Caenorhabditis elegans: one gene and its partners. The protein of the gene in region 1 interacts with the protein of each later gene in a pairwise test. Each region holds a gene or a part of one and is shown in the gene's direction. Other genes may lie near its edges.

Evidence for each region.
Region 2: the proteins of zyg-9 (region 1) and F58F12.1 interact in a two-hybrid assay, tested with the Caenorhabditis elegans proteins (one large-scale study listed by BioGRID).
Region 3: the proteins of zyg-9 (region 1) and C53B7.3 interact in a two-hybrid assay, tested with the Caenorhabditis elegans proteins (one large-scale study listed by BioGRID).

Annotation. Positions count from the first base shown.
Region 1 is NC_003280.10:8,454,972-8,465,308, forward strand, and holds zyg-9 (Zygote defective protein 9), read left to right. Parts: upstream 1-2,846; 5' UTR 2,847-2,849; coding exon 2,850-3,041; intron 3,042-3,087; coding exon 3,088-3,945; intron 3,946-3,992; coding exon 3,993-4,571; intron 4,572-6,073; coding exon 6,074-6,160; intron 6,161-6,259; coding exon 6,260-6,412; intron 6,413-6,461; coding exon 6,462-6,915; intron 6,916-6,962; coding exon 6,963-7,309; intron 7,310-7,507; coding exon 7,508-8,020; intron 8,021-8,137; coding exon 8,138-9,066; intron 9,067-9,142; coding exon 9,143-9,278; 3' UTR 9,279-9,541; downstream 9,542-10,337. Other genes in the region: F22B5.6 (Serpentine Receptor, class J), read right to left, coding at 1-7, 157-250, 728-886, 931-990, 1,143-1,172; fars-3 (Phenylalanine--tRNA ligase beta subunit), read left to right, coding at 9,881-9,938, 10,075-10,130, 10,174-10,337. UniProt on the Caenorhabditis elegans protein: Plays a major role in organizing microtubules and spindle poles during mitosis and meiosis in one-cell stage embryos. Required for default nucleus positioning in oocytes.
Region 2 is NC_003280.10:6,380,006-6,385,879, forward strand, and holds F58F12.1 (ATP synthase subunit delta, mitochondrial), read left to right. Parts: upstream 1-3,639; 5' UTR 3,640-3,647; coding exon 3,648-3,767; intron 3,768-3,813; coding exon 3,814-3,946; intron 3,947-3,993; coding exon 3,994-4,190; intron 4,191-4,410; coding exon 4,411-4,452; 3' UTR 4,453-4,687; downstream 4,688-5,874. UniProt on the Caenorhabditis elegans protein: Mitochondrial membrane ATP synthase (F(1)F(0) ATP synthase or Complex V) produces ATP from ADP in the presence of a proton gradient across the membrane which is generated by electron transport complexes of the respiratory chain.
Region 3 is NC_003284.9:6,841,945-6,847,619, forward strand, and holds C53B7.3 (DUF7107 domain-containing protein), read left to right. Parts: upstream 1-2,810; 5' UTR 2,811-2,824; coding exon 2,825-2,848; exon of another isoform or gene 2,849-2,894; coding exon 2,895-2,955; intron 2,956-3,047; coding exon 3,048-3,332; intron 3,333-3,391; coding exon 3,392-3,511; coding exon of another isoform or gene 3,512-3,590; coding exon 3,591-3,668; exon of another isoform or gene 3,669-3,714; coding exon 3,715-3,956; 3' UTR 3,957-4,031; downstream 4,032-5,675. Other genes in the region: asg-2 (putative ATP synthase subunit g 2, mitochondrial), read left to right, coding at 1-77; C53B7.2 (TIL domain-containing protein), read left to right, coding at 4,307-4,339, 4,396-4,523, 5,102-5,450.

The DNA of each region.
Region 1 (10,337 bases):
TGACGACCTGAAATTAGCTGCAGAATGTTCTGTCAAAATACAATTCACACAGTCATACACAGCTAGTGATTGTTATGAAAAACCTTTCGAGTAACTTTCGTTCAAAATTGCCAGAAATGTGATAGCTGCCCTCTAACAAAATAATTAGAAACTTACATGAATAAATTGTTGACATTTTTGCAAACCATATCTCAACAATGTGCCCCAGTAGATATCCGGTAACAAACAAACCGCACGCAACAACTGCTATCTGAAATTTTTTTGCAAGCATTATTTCTTTTCGTAAAAATATTTTTCATTTAAAAAAACACAATCAATGCGAGCACCGCTAAAGTCAGAATGCACTACCAAAAACTGTTTTCTCGCGGGACCCATCCTAAAAAAATTGTGCGCGCCTTAAGGAGGAGTTTTTAAAAATTGCTCTTATAGTGGAGAAATGTTAAAATATCATACTAAATATAATTTGAGAAAAGTTTTTCCCGTTTTTTATCTACAGTCAAAAATGGTGGAAAATAGGTTTCACCTATAATAAAATTGGTAGTCGACCAAAAATTTGTATTTTTTCTACGAGTTTTATAAAAGCTTTTATTGGGTTTCAATTGCTTGTTTTTAACATTCAAGATGTTCCTTTCCCACTGGTCGAAATTTCTCAAACAGTAAAATTTTCGGAAATACCAGTTATTTTCCAAAACTTTTCCTGTGATACTCGAACCAACTTGAAACTTACATTCATAAATACCACATATCGGAAGGTAAAATGTGTTTTGAACAGAATATCTACGATAATCAAAGAAGTAAGAATACATAAAAATGCAGTGGTTACACATGTCAATCCAAAATGAGTATTAGTTGCATTTTCTGAAACCGATGGAAGTTGATGTTTTAACTGAAATTATGCATTATTGCTAGAGATAATAATAGGGAAAAAACCATTAACGATTTTGCCACGAGATGAGTTGAGCATATTCCAAGAAATAATATTGGAAGACTCTGAAATTTTATTTGAAAAAAATCGTAAGAAACTCGAAGTAACTGGGATCAAATACTACAACAATTGTCATGTCCTACGTTGGAAATTTTAAAGAAAACTGTGAATGATTTTTCAACATGTTGTCTAGTTTTGAAATAAAAGAAAAACGTACTTGTACAAAAAATGGAATGTTCTTCGACATCGTCAGAAGAACGACTTTTTCGCTGACTCAACTGACACTGTTTCATGATACATTGTTTTCTTTTATACCGTATGTTTATATGTATGTTATTGTGTTATAGACGAATTTTCGATGAGACAAAATATGTGAAAATTTTTATTTAGAGTCAAAATATTATCTTCGAGTTCACCGTGAATTATATGATATTGCGCCAGAAGCCACCAGCTTTCAGGAACCGTTGGTAGGATAAGAGCCTCCAAGAAGTACGATGGACGTTTTTTTTGTGAGATCCACGTCGAGAGACAACACGAATTAACATAAGCAAAAGTACCATAGGGGTTTTTCATGCTTCTTCTCACGAATTGTTAAAATTTAGATTTTTTTATTCAAAAAAAAAAGGTTTAATAAACGCGTGCTGCATGCAACACTAACTTTCGGGCCCTTTTTTTTACGCGTGCTGCATACAACACTAACTTTCGAGCACTATTAGAGACTGCAGTATTATCAGAAAATAAATATGATGTTTGTAAATTAACAAGAAACCATCAAAAATATACAAAAACACACATTATTAGAGACTGTAGTACTATTGAAGATGCAGCGCTAATAGGAAATATACGGTATTTGAGAAATCGATAGAAAATCTGCAGTAACCAAAGTTTGCAACAACAGTACTCTTTAAAGACGCGCACCTTTTTCATTTATCAAAAATTTGTCGTGTCGAGACCGCACAGCATTTTTGGCGCCAAATTTCCTGTTTTTCTCGCGTTTCAAACGCGTTTTTTAGGCGTAGGCTCATTTTTGTCTTGTTACAAATCAAAAATTTTCATCTCCCGGTCTCCATATCTGAAATTGACCTTGATCGATGGCTTAAGCGCGCGAATTCTCCCTTCCAAAACACTTCTTGTTCATTTTGCATTCGTATTTTTGAAATAAACATTTCTTCGTTGCGCTTTAATTATTTTTAAGACCAAATTTCGCTATTTAACAGAGCTTTTTAGAAAATGTTTCCTTTCTTGTTCAGTACGCAGTTGACAGCCCCGTCGTTTTACGCGCGCGTTGCGTATCAAGCATGCCACTTGACGACATTTTTATTCGAACGCGCGGTAGAAAATAGTTTTGAAAAGCGCAACGGAAACCTTCTCGCTTTCGCACTTTTTCAATGAATATCAGTTGTTCCCATGTGAGCTCATCATTAAATTGTTTAAATAATTTGTCGTCGCAAGTTAAGCTTTTCAGTGTTTGTCGCACAGTGTTAAGCGTTTGTTCGAGATGTTTCGTCCTTTTTTTGAGATTTTGTTTCTTTGTGAAGCACTTCCATTATCTAATTAATCAAATTTATTATCTGCGTAGTGTTTTAGTATTCACTTGGCTCGAACAAAAAGTTGTATAAAGAATTCATTGATTTTTTGTCCTTTCTTTTTTTTTGCCGCGTAGTGCAACTGAGCCGGCCCGTCCGCCTCTGTTTCTCTGTTTGCGCTTCTTTTTGACGGGTTGCGAAATCGGTCGAAAATGGGCTTGCGGCGAAAAAGTTCCATGTGACCCCAATTACCCCTCGCAGTTCGAAAATATTGATTTTTTCCCTCTACGTTCTCCACCGGAAATCTATTGTTGAAATCTCCTTTCTCTTCAAAACTTATTTTCGTTCGCTTTCTTTGTTTATTGCAAGGCACGTAGTAAACTGTCATTTTTCAGATAATGTCCAATTGGGATTATCTGGACGAGGTGGATATCCTTCCCAAACTTCCACCGAACTTCGATGAGCTGCGAGAATCCAAAAAATGGCAGGAACGAAAAGAGGCATTGGAAGCACTTCTCAAAGTACTCACGGACAATGAGCGACTTTCAACAAAAGCTTCATATGCCGAACTTATTGGTCATCTGCAGATGGTTGGTTTTCATATTTTTCGGTCATTTCTGCAATCTCATTTTACAGGTTCTAGCAAAAGATGCAAACATCAATTGCCAAGCGCTTGCAGCCAAATGCATCGGAAAATTCGCAACGGGATTACGTGCAAAATTCTCTTCTTTCGCAGGACCACTTCTTCCCGTCATTTTCGAAAAAATGAAAGAAAAGAAGCCGATGCTCCGAGAACCTCTTGTAGACTGTTCCAATGAAGTCGGCCGTACAATGCAATCTTTGGAAACTGGTCAGGAAGACATTTTGGCGGCGCTGGCCAAACCAAATCCTCAGATCAAGCAACAGACTGCACTTTTTGTGGCTCGGCAGTTAGATTTGGTGGTTCCAGCAAAACAACCAAAAGGATTCATCAAAGCTGTTGTGCCTGTGTTTGGAAAATTGACTGGCGATGCAGATCAAGATGTCAGAGAGGCATCTCTTCAAGGTTTAGGAGCTGTTCAGCGCATCATTGGAGACAAAAACGTTAAAAATCTCCTCGGCGATGCTTCTTCCGATGAAGGGAAAATGAAAAAGATTGGGGAATATGCTGAAAAATCAACCGCTAGCTTCGCAGAAGAACAAGCTAAAAATGCTCCACCAGTCGCTCCCACTTCTTCGACACCTTCGGCAAGTGCTGCTTCGGGAGATCCATCCGGCGGAACAGCAACTGCTGTTGTTTCATCTGGAGCTCCAGTTGCGGAAGCCGATCCTTGGGATTTTCTTGACGCTTTCGACGTACTTTCCAAAATGCCCGACGGTTTTGATACCAACATCGAAAGCAAGAAATGGCAGGAACGAAAAGAAGCGCTTGAAGGTTTGCTTCAATTGATCACAGCGAATCCGAAGCTCGACCCAAAGGCAAACTATGGCGCACTCGTTGAGAGATTGCAGAAGGTATGTGTATTTTGTCCTGAAAAATTATTTTAAATTCAAATATTAAGGTCCTCGAGAAAGATGCAAATATCAATGTGGCTGCACTAGCGGCCAATTGTATAACTGGTATTGCTAATGGTCTCCGTACGAAGTTCCAGCCGTTTGCTGTGTCTGTGACTCCAATCATTTTTGAGAAGTTCAAAGAGAAGAAACCAACTCTACGTGATCCGCTGGTTGCTTGCATTGATGCAGTTGTTGCAACCACAAATCTCGAAGCAGTTGGAGAAATCGTACTCGCAGCGCTCGGAAAACCAAATCCAAGCATTAAGACTCAAACGGATCTTTTCCTTCAACGATGCTTCATGAAACTGAATTCACAGACCATGCCGAAGAAGACTTTGAAGACGCTGATCCCGTCGTTGATAAAACATTCTGGTGATTCGGATTCGGAAGTTCGTGAAGCATCATACGCTGCAATGGGAGCAATGATGAGAGCCATTGGAGAAAAACCTTCTCTGCAACTTCTCGCCGATATTGCATCGGATAATCTGAAAATGAGCAAAATCAAGGAGTTTCATCAGAAGGCGTTGGATGAAGCTGGGCCCGCAGAGATTGCTGAAATGGTCAAATCGATTCACAAAGCAGATGTGAGTTATTTTATTATTATTAACCAGCCGCTGACCGCGCCTACGGCGCGGGCAACGCCTGGCACCATTAAAAGTATTTGACACACATACCTTCAATCACTCAAAAAATTTCTCATCATGAAAAAAACTTGAAACACTTAAAACGCGGTTTACTGGCACTGTTACATGTATGTATTTTTCTACGACATGCATGTTTCAAAAATTCACAGACAGTATGAAAACTTTCTGTTATTTTTTGACCAAGACAGTAACCTTACAATACCACTACAGTACCTTGACATTATCCTCCACCGACTCCTAACCCAATACCTCTTCAAAGGACGAAATGCCAATTTTTCCAAAACTACAGTAACCCTACCGTATACCTACAGTACCCCTATAGTAACACTACAGTACCTTGACTTGATCCCCCATAAACTCCCGAATAACTACCTCTTCTAAAGCTCTAAGCTCAATTTTTCGGAACATTCCAGAATTTTCTCGATTTTTCTAGAAAGTTCTGGAACATTACAGAAATTTCTCGATTTTTCTAGAAAGTTCTGGAACATTCCAAAAATTTCCCAATTTTTCTAGAAAGTTCTGGAACATTACAGAAATTTCTCAATTTTTCTAGAAAGTTCTGGAACATTCCAGACTTTTCCCAATTTTTCTAGAAAGTTCTGGAACATTCCAGACTTTTCCCAATTTTTCTAGAAAGTTCTGGAACATTACAGAAATTTCTCAATTTTTCTAGAAAGTTCTGGAACATTCCAGACTTTTCCCAATTTTTCTAGAAAGTTCTGGAACATTCCAGACTTTTCCCAATTTTTCTAGAAAGTTCTGGAACATTCCAGAATTTTCTCGATTTTTCTACAAAGTTCTGGAACATTCCAGAATTTTCTCGATTTTTCTAGAAAGTTCTGGAACATTCGAGAATTTTTTCGAAATTTCCAGAAGATTCTAGATTTCCAGAATTTTAGAATTTTCAGAAAATTTAAATTTCCCGCAAAAATATTTTTCACAGAAAACTTAAATTTCTCGCCGAAATATTTTTCTCAGAAAATTTAAATTTCCCGCCAAAATATTTTTCACAGAACATTTAAAATTCCCGCCAAAATATTTTTCACAGAAAATTTAAATTTCCCGCCAAATTATTTTTCACAGAAAATTTAAATTTCCCGCCAAAATTTTGGGTCTTACCACGACGGGTCTCACCACGGTGGGTATTACCACGATGGGTCTCACCACGACGGGTCTCACCACGGTGGGTCTCGCCACGATGGGTCTCACCACGATGGGTCTCGCCACGATGAGTCTCACCGCGAAGGATGACAGACCCCGCCCACAATTCTCAGTGACTTTGGGTGTGACGTCACAGACTACAAAGACTACATAGACTACAAACTATGGAACAAACGGAATTATTTTTTTATATATAAGTAATGATAGTATTTAGAAGTATTCACTGATGATTTTTGTACTGCTTATTTGTAATTTTATTGTGAATGTGTTGTCAAATTTAGGCTCCGCCAGCTGCTGCACCACCGAAAAAAACAGCTCCACCGAAGAAACAACCGGAAGATGAGGAAGTGGTCGAGGAAGAGGATGAGGTGATTAAAATTGTGTTCTTATTTCCATATAGTAATTTGTATCGATTGTGTGGTCGTTTAAAACTGAAAACTTACAATTTTTTATTATTTTTTTTTCAGCCCCTGAAACCACCACCAGGCGATAAGAAGAAGAAAGTTCCCGTGAAGGAGAACGAAGAAAACGAGCCTCCCGTTGTTGCACCAAAAGCCGAACTTTTGCTCAGTGACAACGAGGATAAAAAGCAACGAATCAAGGAAGAGAAGCAATTAAAAGTAATTGCTTTAAATGAGTTAATAATCATACATTCTAATTAATTTGCAGTTAGTCAAATGGAATTTCCAAGCTCCGACTGATGAACATATCTCGCAACTTCAAACCCTGCTCGGAAACCAAGCGAAAGTGTCTCTAATGAGTCAACTTTTCCACAAAGATTTCAAGCAGCATCTTGCGGCTCTTGATTCTCTGGTTCGCCTTGCCGATACATCTCCTCGATCTCTTCTATCCAACAGCGATCTTCTATTAAAATGGTGCACTTTGCGATTTTTCGAGACCAACCCGGCCGCACTTATCAAAGTTTTGGAATTGTGCAAAGTTATTGTGGAGCTAATTCGGGATACAGAAACTCCAATGTCACAAGAAGAGGTGTCTGCATTTGTTCCATACTTGTTATTGAAGACAGGAGAAGCCAAAGACAATATGAGAACTTCTGTCAGGGATATTGTCAATGTACTTTCAGATGTTGTCGGTCCACTCAAGATGACACCCATGCTACTTGGTATGAGAGAAGAAGATCAATAATGTTCTAGTAATTTTTATTTTCAGATGCGCTGAAGTCGAAAAACGCTCGCCAACGTTCCGAGTGTCTGCTAGTCATTGAATACTACATTACAAATGCTGGAATAAGTCCGCTGAAATCGTTATCAGTCGAAAAAACAGTTGCTCCATTTGTTGGTGACAAGGATGTCAACGTCCGAAATGCTGCTATCAATGTTCTCGTGGCTTGTTTCAAATTTGAAGGTGATCAAATGTGGAAAGCAGCAGGAAGAATGGCAGATAAGGACAAGTCGTTGGTTGAGGAAAGAATAAAACGAACAGGAGTGAAACCGGGATCTGGTGTTGTCACCTCGCCGCCAACTGGAGGACCCAAAATTTTAGTGCCACAACAACAGGTTAGTTGTTTAAAATATTTCTCGTAATGAGTCAGGTTCCCTGAAAGATCACTTGAATCGGCCATACAGTCTTACGAGTTGGAAGTAAATAATATTTTTTTTTGTCTCAAATATTTGGAGTTAGTAGTGATTCCCTATTCGATACCCACGCGAAGTTTCGTTCAGTTTTTAGAAAACGAAAAATTACATGTTTTTCAGGGTTCGGTTGTTCGTCGTCCTGCTTCTCGATCTCGTACTCGTGAACCTGAACCAGAAGAAGTTCAAAGCGACACCTTCACTATACGACAAGACACAATGCCTCCAAAAACTTCATCTCGCTATGCACTTCGTGACGACGTCTTTTCGTCAGCCATGGGCCGTCTTGATGGCACTCAAGTCATCACTCCACCACAACCTGTCAATGGCTGGTCAAACAATACCTTCCAAATGAAGCGGACCAATTCTTCATCGTCGATTTCCTCCATAGACACTTCTGATCAAATCCAAAGAAGCATCAACAATATTTCGAGCAGTCTTGCAGATGTTGCTCAAGATGCTATGTTCCAGGTCACTTATGTTCTTAATCAACCTGAACAACGTCATCTTGTTGATCGACGTGCCGATTTGGTGTTTCGTGCATCTGCTGCTCAATTAGATTTGGTGATTGAAGAATTCAATGCTGGACGAGATGTCAGTGGAACTATGGACGCTTGTACGCAAATGCTTTTCATTGTAAGTTATATTTTTCATATGTCATAGTAATCAAGGGGAGTTCCGAAATATATCTGGCTCTCTTTGTTTCATTTAGTCATGCCATGTATATGTATATATCCAAATTTATCTTTTCAGTTGATGGGAGGAGTCGAAACTGAGCACGGCCTTGAGCCACTTAATGCGTCCCCCGACACAGTCAAAGCCATCATCTCTTCGGTCCTCAGATGTATCATCCAAATCGGTAACACAGAGTCCGGATACGGAATGGCAAGATCTCTCAATCGACTGGCAATGCGATTAATCTACAGAGTTGAGCTGTCTAATCTGTTGTGCGGATTGATTCTGGCAATGACTGAATCACTTCAAATGAACACCGGTATAACCGAACTTGTGTCGAAGCTCTCGTCGAAATGGTGTGATGAACTTGAAAAGAGAAGAGCTCAACTGAGAGCCTCGGATATAGTCGACTCATTCAATGCTTTCTACGTTTGTGCACTCACAGAACTTAAAATGGACATCAGCGATTCACACATTTTGATAGTTGATAACTATTTGGAGCGGGTTATCCTTCAGCAAGGAGACGTCGTCTTGGATGCTGCCCGTCGTCTTTCTCGACCACATATGCACTTGACCAGTATGATCAACAAGATTTTACAAATGATGAGAGAACGAAAAATTGATCCTATCATGCCTGGAACATTGGAAGCCAGAATGCCACAAGAGGATGAAGCAGTTGTAGTGCGAAGCGGCGTTCAAGTTTCGATCGACAATATTCTGCGTGATACCTCGATGGCAGTTAAACATATTGAGCAACTGAATATTCTCATTGCATCCAGTGACCGATCTTGGAATGAGTATATGGAATATCTCAAAAATAATCCAATGGGAGAGCTCATCAAGGAGCTAGTCGGCGAGTGTTCCAGAAAGAAGAGGATTGACTTTAACCTCTCTCATGTCGTTAAATCGTCAATGGCAGTTTTCAAAGCCATGGCAGCTACTGGTCCTGTTCAAGAGGAAGGTAGAATAACTCCAACAGATATAAACAGAATGGATACTATGATTGTGTAAGTTTCATAAGACAAAGAACGTAATTTAGCTCTCATCTCATATTTTGCCAAACTAAAAAAAACTAATTTTCAGTGGAACACCTCTATCTCGTGGAGACGCAACCATCACTCGTGCGCGTGGAAACATGATCCGTCCAAAGAGAACCACATTGAGCCGAGACCAAATGGCGAACATTCGTCATACACTGGACAGAGTCAAAAATCATTGATAATTTTATCCCTGCCCCTTAAAGTGCATAACACGAAAATAACGAGTAATTTCTTACACCCGCATTTTTACTGGTATTTTTTAGCTCTATGCTTCAATTTTATTTGCTTGTGAAATGTATTTTGTATTGTAAAATCATTTTGATTACCAGAAGAATTTACTGATCTGGAACTTTAATTTATTGATTGATATTCGTGGAAGAGCTCGGAAGTATTTCAGTTTTTTAGCGCTTATTTCATTCCCGGAAATAAATTTATTGTTTAACTTTTAAAAAATAACTTCAGCAAACAGACTCTCAATAAAAGGCGGATTAGCGGATTTTATTTGAGAATTTCGGTTCGATGACTGTTCTATGGAAATACATGAGAGTTTCGCTTTAAAGGTTCTGATTTCCAGAAATTTATTTATTTTTTCCATTTATTAATTAATAATATATTAAATTCCAAAAAAAGTATTGTCCGCAATGTGGCGTCACCGTGTACACCTTGGTTGGTACTAAGGACACCGAATTTGCCGACAATCCAAATTAATCCTATTTTCTTTTCGGTCTTCTTGATTAATTTCTCTAGATTTCCATAGTTAATTCATTATATTTTCAGCGAAATGCCAACTGTGGGAATCAAGAAAGTCATCCTTGACAAGCACTTCAAGCGAGTCTATTGTAAGTTTCTAAAAAAAGCAGTGTAGTCTGAAAAATGTTGCTACTGGAATTAAAGTAGTAAAAGCAATGAACGGATATCAAAATAAATTCGTAGTAAACTACATTGTTTGTATTACCAATAATGTTAAATTTTCAGCGGAGAAGGAGTTCGACGAGCTCTGTTTCGAATATGGCTTGGAGTTGGACGAAATTGTACGTTTTGGTTCAAATATTTGTTATCATATTTTATTTGCAGACATCTGAGAAAGCCGCTGTTGAAAAAGAGCAAGGAACAAGAGCTGCGTCTGATTTGAATGATCAAGAAGTATACAAAATTGACATTCCAGCAAATCGCTATGATTTATTGAGCGTTGAAGGGCTGGCTCGAGCAATTCGTATTTTCAAACAAGAAATCCCATC
Region 2 (5,874 bases), 2.1 Mb from region 1:
AAAATCGTATCACAAGGGTTAAGCTGATTGTGAGTCGCTACTGTGAGTCGCTGTCGCTAATTACCACAACTGTCATAACGCTGTTAGATTTATGAATAAAATCAGCCTAAAAGGAAAATCAGTTTAGATTTTAAAGATAAATTTTCAAAAAAGTTTTGAAGAATTGTGGTGGGATACGGTGGCTGAGTAGCGACTCGACCTTTTCAGATCGGAATATTTCAGAAATTAGATTAGTTTTAACAAATTTGGATAAAGATGATTACCCAAATTAAATTCTGTAGACTGCAAAATTTTCAAAATCAAAATCATAGCAAAATTGGCAAAACTCCCTATCACTGTTTGAATTAAGAGAGTCGCTACTCAGCCAATTACCAAACCTGTCATAACATTGTTCAGAAAAGGGATAGAAAGTTGGCTCAAAAAGCAAATATGGTACGTTTTTGGAGAAAAATATTTTAAAAGAAGTTTCCAACAAATTTGGTGTGCCAAGAAAAGTTTTGGTCAAACTTAGGATAAATTGTCCAGCTCTTCCCAGCTAGCTTTTAAGTCAAGTTATTTTTTTCGGGTTGAACATAGCCAAGAACTTTTATGTTTAAAACTTAGTTTTCTACACAATGCTATTTTTGATAATTTCAGTATTGCAAGTCGTGGAACGATTTCGAGGTTGTTCTGGAGTTACAGTTCAGTTGGAAAATGTCGATTTTAGCTCATACCTTTCTACCTACCGTAACCTTGATTAACTTCACAATTATTTGTGTTGTTGTGTTGTCGTTTTTCATTTCTTGTTTTGTCCCTTGAAACCTGCATTCTTTTTTCTTACACATTCTTTCTCTCCATTTATTTATATTCTTTATCTGCCACAGTGTTTCTCTCTGATTCATAAATTCATTCATTTTCTTTCTGTGTGGTTTAAACTTCAGGTTTCTCGATTTCTCTATCATCTCAAAATTATGCATAAACCCATTTTTCCATTTTCTCTTCGTCTCCATTCCTTACCTCTTGCAAACTGATAGGGGCGTGACCTTGTTCCGAAAAGAGGCGGAGTGTCGGAACGAAAAGTCAACGACATGTCCTCTCCGGTCAGTCAGCCACCGACTTCTTGGTGCTCTTCTCTCTGAAATTTCATTCGTCTGAAAGTGACCTACTTTTTAAACTCAACAATGATTCATCATCCAGTATATTTTTATGGAGAAGCAACATCAATGGATCTTCATAAACATTCAACATTATTCTCTGTGCAAAGAATGCAAAGACTTCAACTCATCAAAATATCAACACCGGAACACAATCGGTATGGTCAATTCAAGAAAAGGATCACTAAATGATATCCACTTATCATTAGTCACGTGTCTACATGACTACATGGCTACAACATCATAAGATATATTTTCCTTGTACATTCTTAGGAAAGTGTAAATATAATATTTTGGAAATTTTCGAAAGGTATAGCTCCAATTCTAGAGTTCATTATTTATTTATTTGTTTTTTTATAAGCACGTTATATTTCCTTGTCCCTTACAAAAGGAATTGTATATATATATTTGTCTGTACATTTTTTGATATTTTTCTCATTCCGCTGGTTGGTCATCTATTTCAATTGTTTCGCGATGATTTGCAATATTTTAATGGGATCTCATTTATTTTGTTTCATGTTCAATTGTACATTTATTTTGATTTTTGTGATAATTTTGAATCTCGAGTGAATTTATTTTTAATATGTTTTAAGTTTGTATACAATATACAAGAATTGAGTTATTAAAATACAATAATTACAAAACTAACCATGATATGGCTAAAAGAAATCAGCTGGGACAAGCTTGATTCACAGAAATTTGTAGGCTTTTTACAGTTAGAAAACTCAAAACTTCCGGCAGATCCTGAAATAAAATACAACTCTTGAGTTTACTGAAAACGTAACATTTACAGTTACAGTACCACAGAAAGGCTGATAATTTTTCACCCTAATCAGCAATTTAGGTGAAATTTATTACAAGTGGAATGCTTACAATAGTATTGAGAAAATTTTTTACCTACCTAAAGGTTGCGTCTCTCTCTCCGAAACTTGTAGAAGAATGGCTGCTCACTCCAAACCGGAATTATCTGTTGTTTTGGATGCATAGTTTTTAAAAGGCAGGTCTTAAAAATCCAATCCCTAACTTCTCTGCATGCACAAACTTTAAAAGTAGCTACAGTAATATTTTCACATGATAACCTGCATTAGGAGTGTTAACCCTAACCACAAACTTTATCATTGACTATGTGTCTAGTTACAATGACCAAACAACTGTGTGTGTTTCTTTAATAGGATTCTAATAGAATGTTAAATATCTAATGGCGAATTCGTGATTTCAGGTGAATTTATTTAGTTCCGGACACAAGCCTAAACAGAAAGTTCACAAAAGTTAGTCATGATGATCTTTTATCTTCAGTTGCAAACTTTTTCTCCACGGTTTCATGATTTTGAAGCTTCTTTTTATTTTAGAGATATCAAAATGTTGTCGATCTACTTACTCACTGCACAAAAAGGTTATTATGTAGTTTAAAATAAATTTTCGTTGGGCAGAATGAGGGATGATATATTATTACTGTTTCCCGGTATCCACTTGATGAGCATGCGACCTCTCTGTCCAGAAGCCAAACTTTCAATAACATCTACAGTATGTACTGTATTTTGCAATCACTTATAAAAACTGAAAACTGAGAAGAACCATAAATCATACATTTCCCGCATGTTTCTACTCAATTGATAACCGGATTATCACATTTCTTTACTATTACTATGAAATGACACGCAGTTGCAACAAACTTCAAATATTTGATAAGTTTCAGTCAATTCAGCAGAAAACGCACCAACACACATGTTCTGCTTCAGGTGAAGGAAACACGTAAAAAGTCACGTGGCTTATTCAAATGTTCAAATGAGTCGTATTTTGCAAAGTGTATCGAAATGCTACGCAATGTAGTGAATAATATAGTAAGTTAAGTGAAACCTACAAATCATGTATACAATTTTCAAAAATTTCCATATATTCTTCCCTGCGTACAATTCGAGAAAGGAGCAATCTACTTTAATGGTTAAGATTTTTTCAATCAGTAGCTTCAATAGTGTACTCTATTGCTGTTTAGATACGTCTTCAAATAAAGTTTATTTAAAAAATATGTTTTCTCTATTGTAATAGTTCTATAATTTCAAAAATTATTCCAATTAGCTACATTTCAATAAATATCAAAAATTCTACGCTTCTTAGTTGAAAATCTCCAATTACATTCGCTGTTTCATATTTAACATACGTTTCATTAAATCTTCAGGCATTTTTTAACCTTCGCCAAGATGGCCTAGTTTTTCCCGATGGCCGCGGACTAGCCATTAGGGGATGCAAACACGCTCCGTTGGACGACGGGCGATCTCGATTTTTATTCACCTTTTTTTAACAAAAAATCTCTGTTTTCAACTGTTTTGGGAAGTTTTTTCAGTTAATTTTCGTTATTAAAAATTGAAAAAAGTATTCGACTATATGTCTACGATTTTTACTATTGTTTGTTCCCCAAATACAATCTATTCCTCCGATTTTTTCATTTATAATTCTTAATACACATATTGACCTTCTAAAAATCAATCAAACAATGTTATCATTTCAGAGGGTAAGATGTTGGCTCGTACTATCCAAAGATTCTCGGTTGTTGCCAAGCGCGGATACGCCGCTGCCGCTCCAGCTGCCAACGCCAACCCAGAGGAGCTTCGTCTCACTTTCGCCTCCCCAGACACCGTGAGTAAATATTATTTGAAAACATTATTTGAAAATCAATTTACAGGCTGTCTTCAGCAATGCTGTCGTCAAGCAGGTTGATGTGCCAACTTTGGCCGGTATGGTTGGTGTTCTTGCCAATCACGTCCCAACCATTGGAGTTTTGAAACCAGGAGTTGTCTCTGTCACCACAAATGAAGGTTTATTTTGCAAAAATAAATTGTATTATCACCAAAGAATTTTTCAGGAACAGTTCAACGCCTTTTCGTCTCTTCGGGAACCCTCTCCGTGAACATCGATGGATCATGCCAAGTTCTTGCTGAGGAGGTCCTGAAAGTTGAAGAAATTGATGAGTCTGCTGCCCGCGCCGAGCTTGATGCTGCCCAAAGAGCCTCCGGAGAAGGAAGCGAGGTTGCTCGTGCTGAAGCTCAAATTCGCGCTGAAGTAAGTGTTCGAAAAAGTTTTAAAAACCAAAAAAAAATACAAGAAACGAATATCGTTTGGTTTCAGCAAAGTTAAGCATTTCGTAATATTTTTATTATCAAAATGATTCTGTGCTTCGATACTAAAACTGAGACCAGGACATAAAGTTGAGGGTCATAAAAGTAGTTCTCTGAAATGAATATGTCTTTAAGTTTTGTTTCAAAACAAGGGAATTTTTCAGGTTGCTGAAGCATTGATCAAGGCCGCCACGAACCAGCAATAAGGAGTATGTTGAGAGTAGACCCTTTAACTTTGGTAAATTCCTTTTTAATTTGATCCTAGGCACATCGTCAATTTCTCTCGATGCTGCTTATAGGATATTATGTACGGCCCTCCCTTTTTTTGTTTTCATTGTTCCATCGTTTCCAATAAATTTCGAGACTTTTAGTTTTTGACTTTTATTTTTCCAATTTTCTGATTTAGTGATATTTATAGTAGAAATGAACATTCGATCCTTCATCCAAGTAATTATATCAAACAAGAGAAAATTCTGAAAATGTATGTAAACTGGAATACCAATTCCATGAGTTTAAAACAATTACAATCTACAGCAATACGTACCCTAAAATGAAATAGAATTAGTATTTCCTTATGTTTACCAAAAAACGGAAACCTCGGGTTCGATTCAATTCATGCGCTAATCGAAAATGGTTGTTCAAAAAGCGAAATTGAACGAAAAAAATCGTAAGTGATGATGCCATTCAGAAGAATCTGCAACATTTGAAGAGGAAACCCAAGGAGGATTCGGCTTTTTCAAAGTGATGAAAGTTGAGATACAAATTGGAATTGTCTTTTTTATCGACAAACCCACTTTAAATGCCATTTACAGACACGATGGGAGGATAGACAACAAACTTCAAAAATCATATGAACACTTTTCTGAATCAAAATAATTATTCACCAATTTTCCACCATTTTTAGTAAATAGCTAATATTAGTTTGAATATCAAACTTCTTTTATTAAAATTGGAGCTTTATTTATTCAAACCTTCGCAAAATTGATTTGGTTTCTAAGAACTTCAAATAAAAAGTATTCTAAAAATGTTTAGCCTATTCCAAATACCAATGTCACATAATCTTATAGATCCGTCGCCACACTCAATAAAATTCTTCGTTAGAAAGTGTTCGGAATAGTGAGAATGGATTCGATTCCATATCTGTGTACATGTACAATTATGTCGGTTTCCGTTAATTGAGAAAAAGAATTCAGGAATTGAAGAGACGAAAAAGAAGAAAAGATATGTCTTCGGACTGATTGGCATCGTTTGTTCGGTGGTCAACACACCGTCAACGCACAGATTTCCGGAAGACCTTTCCTTTTCCACTCAATCATCAAAACTCTTTTTCTGTCTTCTTCTTCTTTTACTTTATCCTTTCTCTCATATTTCCAACACTTTTTGACAAGGTAATATACGTATAAGTCTCTCATTCCATCATAATATTTCGTTGCTGTCATTCGAGAACCGCCCGGGAAGGGGATGACTAAATTGCTGGAAACCACTTTTCGCTTTCACTGCTTGCCAACGTTGTGTTTATGTTGTTACCTATGGCTTATATGATTTGGCGCCCTTCTAGATTTTTCTATTTTATTTTAATTTTTGTTTGAAATCCTTGTTGCAAGAAATTTACAAAATATGTCAAGTGT
Region 3 (5,675 bases), on another chromosome or scaffold:
TTCCTGCTGATTACGTTTCCAAGTCCACCAAGAAGACCGTCAAAGAACAAGAGGCTCTTGCTGCTCTCGAGAACTAAATTGTTATCCTTATGTTTAGCGGCTCGTTTTTGATATCGACAAATTTTTGATAGATTTATTTTGGAGTTTGTAAAATGAAGTATTGATGAAAAAAATAAATATAAAAATTTCTAATAATTTTTGATAAAATTTGGCTGTGTTTTGAGAAACATTCAAGGAAGACATTCTGAATGCAATAAAAATTAATTTAAATTAGAAACTTTTAGAGTACGCTCTAATAAGTTGGCATATGTACATAGATGCATGGGGAGTATAAAAATAAGAATAACATCTACACCGTAGTCAATATTTTATAAGTATATTCGTACAGCAAGTGTACTAAAATACAATTTTCACAAAGTAAATTTTTTAAATTTGAAATTGCATTTATACAGGAGGGAATAATCCTAAATCGATTTTTTTTTGAGAATATCACCAAAAGTCTGGTGTTTCTCATAATTTTCCGATTTAAGGGTAAACTTGGTCCCCTGTACCACCCCTTTATAACTTTTCTGCGCGCTTACTCATCTCTCTATTTCATATCAAAATATATGAAATAGAGAGATGAGAAAGCCACAAAGTTATGAAAAAATCAAAAAAAAAATCATGTTCACTAACCAGTGACAAAATGCCTTTCACATTCATAAAATTAATTTCACCGCACATTAGCAATATTTTGGCATATTTACAAATTTATTTCAGTGAATTATGGCCGAAATCAGTTGCAAAATAAATATATACATGTATGCATACAAAAAACTAGTTGAGAAAAGGTTGTCACTATTGATCCTTGCCCCTATGATACACCCCACTATGCCTACTGGATCCTGTGAAATTTTGAATACTTCGTTTCCATAGAACCCTAGTCACCCAAAAGTTTGCCATCTCGGAAGAAAATTCTCAGATTTATATATTATTCAGTATGCAGGTCTCATTAGTTTTGCAAGCTTTTTCTTAAATGAAAATCACACTTTCTCCTTTCTTTCATATAATGATTTTATGTAAATTCACCAACAGTTCATGTTATCAATCCTAGTTCATGAACAGTTGCACGTCAACAAATATTTTCAAAAATTAATTACAGTGCCGGACATAAAGGTATGCAGAAAAGGTTTTTCGTGAATTTTTTGTGAAAGTATTAGGTCTCCAAATAAGTTCCGGGTCAAAAATCATAACTTTTTTTGCCTTTTATAGATTTTTTGAAACTTTGGGAATTCATGTTATCAACTATGACCTTTCATTTTGAAATAGTCACAAAATTTTTTGACCACCCGGAGTGCCCTAACTCGAAGCCATTTTTTTCAGGCATTTTTCTGATCTCGCTTCTTTGCAGCTTTGAACTAAGGTTTGTGTGCGGATTTTACTATGTTTAGAATACATCGTAGGAAATCAACAAAAGTTTGGAAAAAAATCCGTCCAAAAAAATTCTTTTTGGTCGGCCGTCAAAAAAACTTCAAAAAAAATTTCTTTCGAAAGTTTTTGATTTTTAGTATAAAAATGATGTAACCATGTGTAAACTATTTTTAAACATACAAAACATTTGAGTTTGAAAATTGGATCTCGAGAAATACTCAAAAAACTCAAAAATATTCTTCGAAAAAATTATGTTTTCTATTATCATTTGAGTGTGACGAACTTAGTTAAAATGTTTTGTATTTGTAAAAATAGTTCACACATGACTACATCATTTTTGTATGAAAAATCAAGAATTTTCGAAAAAAAATTTTTTGAAAAAAATAAAAAAATTTTTGACCACCGACCAAAAAAAAATTTTTGGACTGATTTTTTTCCAAACTTTTGTTGTTTTCTTACAATGTATTTTAAACAAAGCGAAGTCCGCACATAAACCTCAATTCAAAGCTGCAAAGAAGCGAGATCAGGAAAATGCTTGAAAAAATTCCTAGTGGTCAAAAATTTTTGTGACCATATCAAAATGAAAGATCATAGTTGATAACATAAATTCCCATAGTTCCAAGAAAATCGATAAAAGGCGAAAGAAGTTATGATTTTTGACCCGGAACTTATTTGGAGACCTAATAATTAAAATCGATTCATTTTATTTATCTAAACTCCATTCCATGTAGATTCCACCAAAAAAAAATTCGCGTTTGGTGGCTGTACTTGCATTTTTTTTAATCGAGCCGAAAAAAAGTTTGCTCACAATGTAAACGGTTTTTGCCAATCTTTCGCTTACCTGACAAACATCTCTCGGAGTTGTTTGTCACTGCAATCTGTGGTTTCTGAGTGTGAACAATGAATCATTCTTTCCGAGTAAAATAACAATAACTGAATTTATAAAGCAATATCGGAAGATTCCGTGACTCCAGATGTTACATTCTAAAAGCATGTGATCGAAATAGAACAACTTTATTAATCTTTCGGATAGAATCTATTCTCGGAATCTGCTCGATCTATTAATTTAGTTTCTCGTGATAATAAGTAACATTAACTCAAACAAAAAAAACTATAGTCCGCAGTGTAAGCGAAATGTAAACATAGCGGTATTTGTGACTCGGGCCAAACAACACGAAAAAGTCAATAATTTAAGTGAACTTATCAACGACTACTTATCAACGTTTATTGACTCTGTACCCTTTGGCAGACATTTTTTGTAAACTGGGAGATTTTTCTGGCAAAACATGTGTTTACTTGGACGACGCTGAGCCACAGGCACATGTTTATCGAGTCCAAGACAAACAACCGCCTAGAAAAAAGGACAAGTATAAAAAGGTCAGAGGTGACTGGGATAAACCACACCAAGTCTAAAATGCAGTTTACCATTCTTCTTGCAGTGAGTTTTCCATCCAATAAAAACCTTTTAATTAAAACAATTTCAGCTTTTTGGCCTTGCTTCTGCTGCCACATACTATTCATCAACTCCAAGCTATAGCAACTCTTGTAAGTAATATAATAGAGTTGTTAGATAATAGATAATAGAATAGATAATAGAGAGTAATATAATAGAGAGTGTTAAATAAAAAACTTTTCAGACAGAAGTTGCTCTTCCTCTTACGAATGTTCGTCTGGCCAAACTTGCTCTAATGGACAATGCATGAGCTCTCTCGGATATAACGGAGGACTTTACTCCAACACCTATAACAACAACAACCAATATGACATGAACAGTCAGTATGGCAACCAAATGGGTACCACTGGATCCGGAACATACTGCACCACGTCGTACTCTTGCCGATCTGGAGAAACATGCATGAACAACAGATGCCAAAGCAGCTATTCCAACAACATGTACAACTCCAATTCTCAGTACTCTAACTGTAAGTGTACCGTGTCTACCTGAGAGTAGAGCAAGTCTATAATTTTGGATTTTTTTAAGCTGGATCCACTTGCCGTTACTCTACCGACTGCTACTCTGGACAAATGTGCTCCAACGGAGTTTGTGTCGCCCAATACGGAACCTCTTACAACAATGCTATGTACTCTTCATCTACAGGAAGTAAGAAACATTATCACAATACATATCCCAATTTCACAAATATAACAATTCCATTGTCTAATGCACACATCTTTTCCAGAACGATGCCTTAACAATCTTTCCTGCGCTAACGACGAACGTTGTGTTAACGGCCTTTGCGTTATCCACATCGCGTCTAGTAATTCCGTAAACTTGACATCTTACATTCATTGTTTTGTTTCCAGATTACTGTACTTATGATAACACTTGTGGACTCAATCAAAGATGTGTTAACAACATGTGTCAATCCACCGGATCAAACTCTATGTACGGAAGTGGCTCATCCGGATACAACACTTACGGCTCTGGAAACACCTATGGATCATCCAACTCCAGATGCACATACAACTCGGACTGCGGATCTAATAGATACTGCTCATCTGGATACTGCACCAGCTACGTGCTCAGACAAAAGAGAAGCTCTTAAGCATTTGTACTAAACTTGTATTATAAAACTACATGAATTATTCAATATTCCAATAAAACATTGCCAATCCCTTTTTAAATTCGAATTCTCCAATCATGAAAGCTACATAAATCTTCTTCAAAAAGTCTGTGGGGAGCTTAAGGCCAAGCGTCTCGAGATTTTTTACTTTGAAGACAATCTGTCTTTGTAAAAGCCAATGCATGTGTCATAAGATTAATGATGCGAAGGTTTGGTATGAAATATATGAAATGGCAAAATGTGACTGAATATGAAAAAATTACACTGACCAGATGAGGATATTGGTATATAAACTAACATGTGCCTGCAAAATCTGATTCATCAGTTGAAATATGATGTTTGCATTTCCAATAGCTTTGTTGTCGGTAAGTTAATACACCAGGTTTCCAGGTTTCTAAAAGTTTGACAATAATATTTACAGGTAGTACTGGTGGTTGATTCTCAATACCATCAAACAACAACTCAAGTGAGTTGTGGAATCAATGAGCAATACTCTCCGTGTACTCAAATGTGCCCACCAACATGTGAATCTCCAAACCCACAATGCAGGTGAAGTCTTAGAACAAAAACATTTTTAAAATTAAACAGTCTACAACATTTTGTGAAAAGCATGGTGTCCTCTTCGAAATTCTTATATGGATACTTCATTACCGGTAAACTTGGATGACTCTATATATCAACTTTAAACAATCAGTCTTCCATAAAATAATGATAATTTTTCCATGATTATTAGCACATTAGTGATACATTTATCATATTGCACATTCACTCTGATAAATTTCTGTTCTAAGCATCGAATTTAGGGTACTTGTGTATTATATCCCCGCCATTTTAAAAATTAACTTTTCTATTTATAAAATAAAAACGTGTGGAGTTTTAGGTTTAGGAAAACACCATACACAAAACACCTAACGAGGAAAATGGGTATCACGTTCTATTTAAACAAATAAATAAATGGAAATTTGAATAATTTTCAAAATGGCAGGGGTATAATACACAAGTACCTAATTTAGCCCTACTTACGAAGTTCCTAGTATCAATGTATGTTCAGGCGACATCCCAATTGCATGAAAACTTATAAAATAAAAATTAACAGAACGATACAAACAAAATAAACATAATTTCAGAGTTGACTGCACCCGTCCATCTTGTACCTGCTTGCCAGGCCACGTCTACTCAAACTCCCGTCAATGCATCCCAGCCAATTCTTGCTACCAAACTCAATCGCTTCGCTGCCGAATGAACAACGACTGTCGTCCAGGAATGTATTGCATCAATGGATACTGTGGCGCAGCATCAGGAGTTTATACGAGAACGGTTGTGAGCTCATCCTCTTTGTCATCCTCATCTTCTGGTCATCGTCATCACTCTCACCGATCGCAAGGCGAGTGCTCCCTAGATGTGCATTGTGATCATCGTAAAATTTGTATCGATGGAATTTGTGTTTATGCAGACCGCAGTGATCGTTATAATTAAAATATTTCGAATGAAGCTAAACAACATTATCGCAAAAAGTAAAAATTTCCTGACATCAAAAACCTTATACAAATGTAGATGATGAATTAATTGGTTGAAAACATATCTCCGACTTTAGACATTTTCAGGGTCAAGAATATTGATACTTCACAAAAATGTAGACTTTCTGAAAGTTTTTCAATAACTTCAGTGTTTCGCTATCAATTTTCAAAACAACAAGGTGTT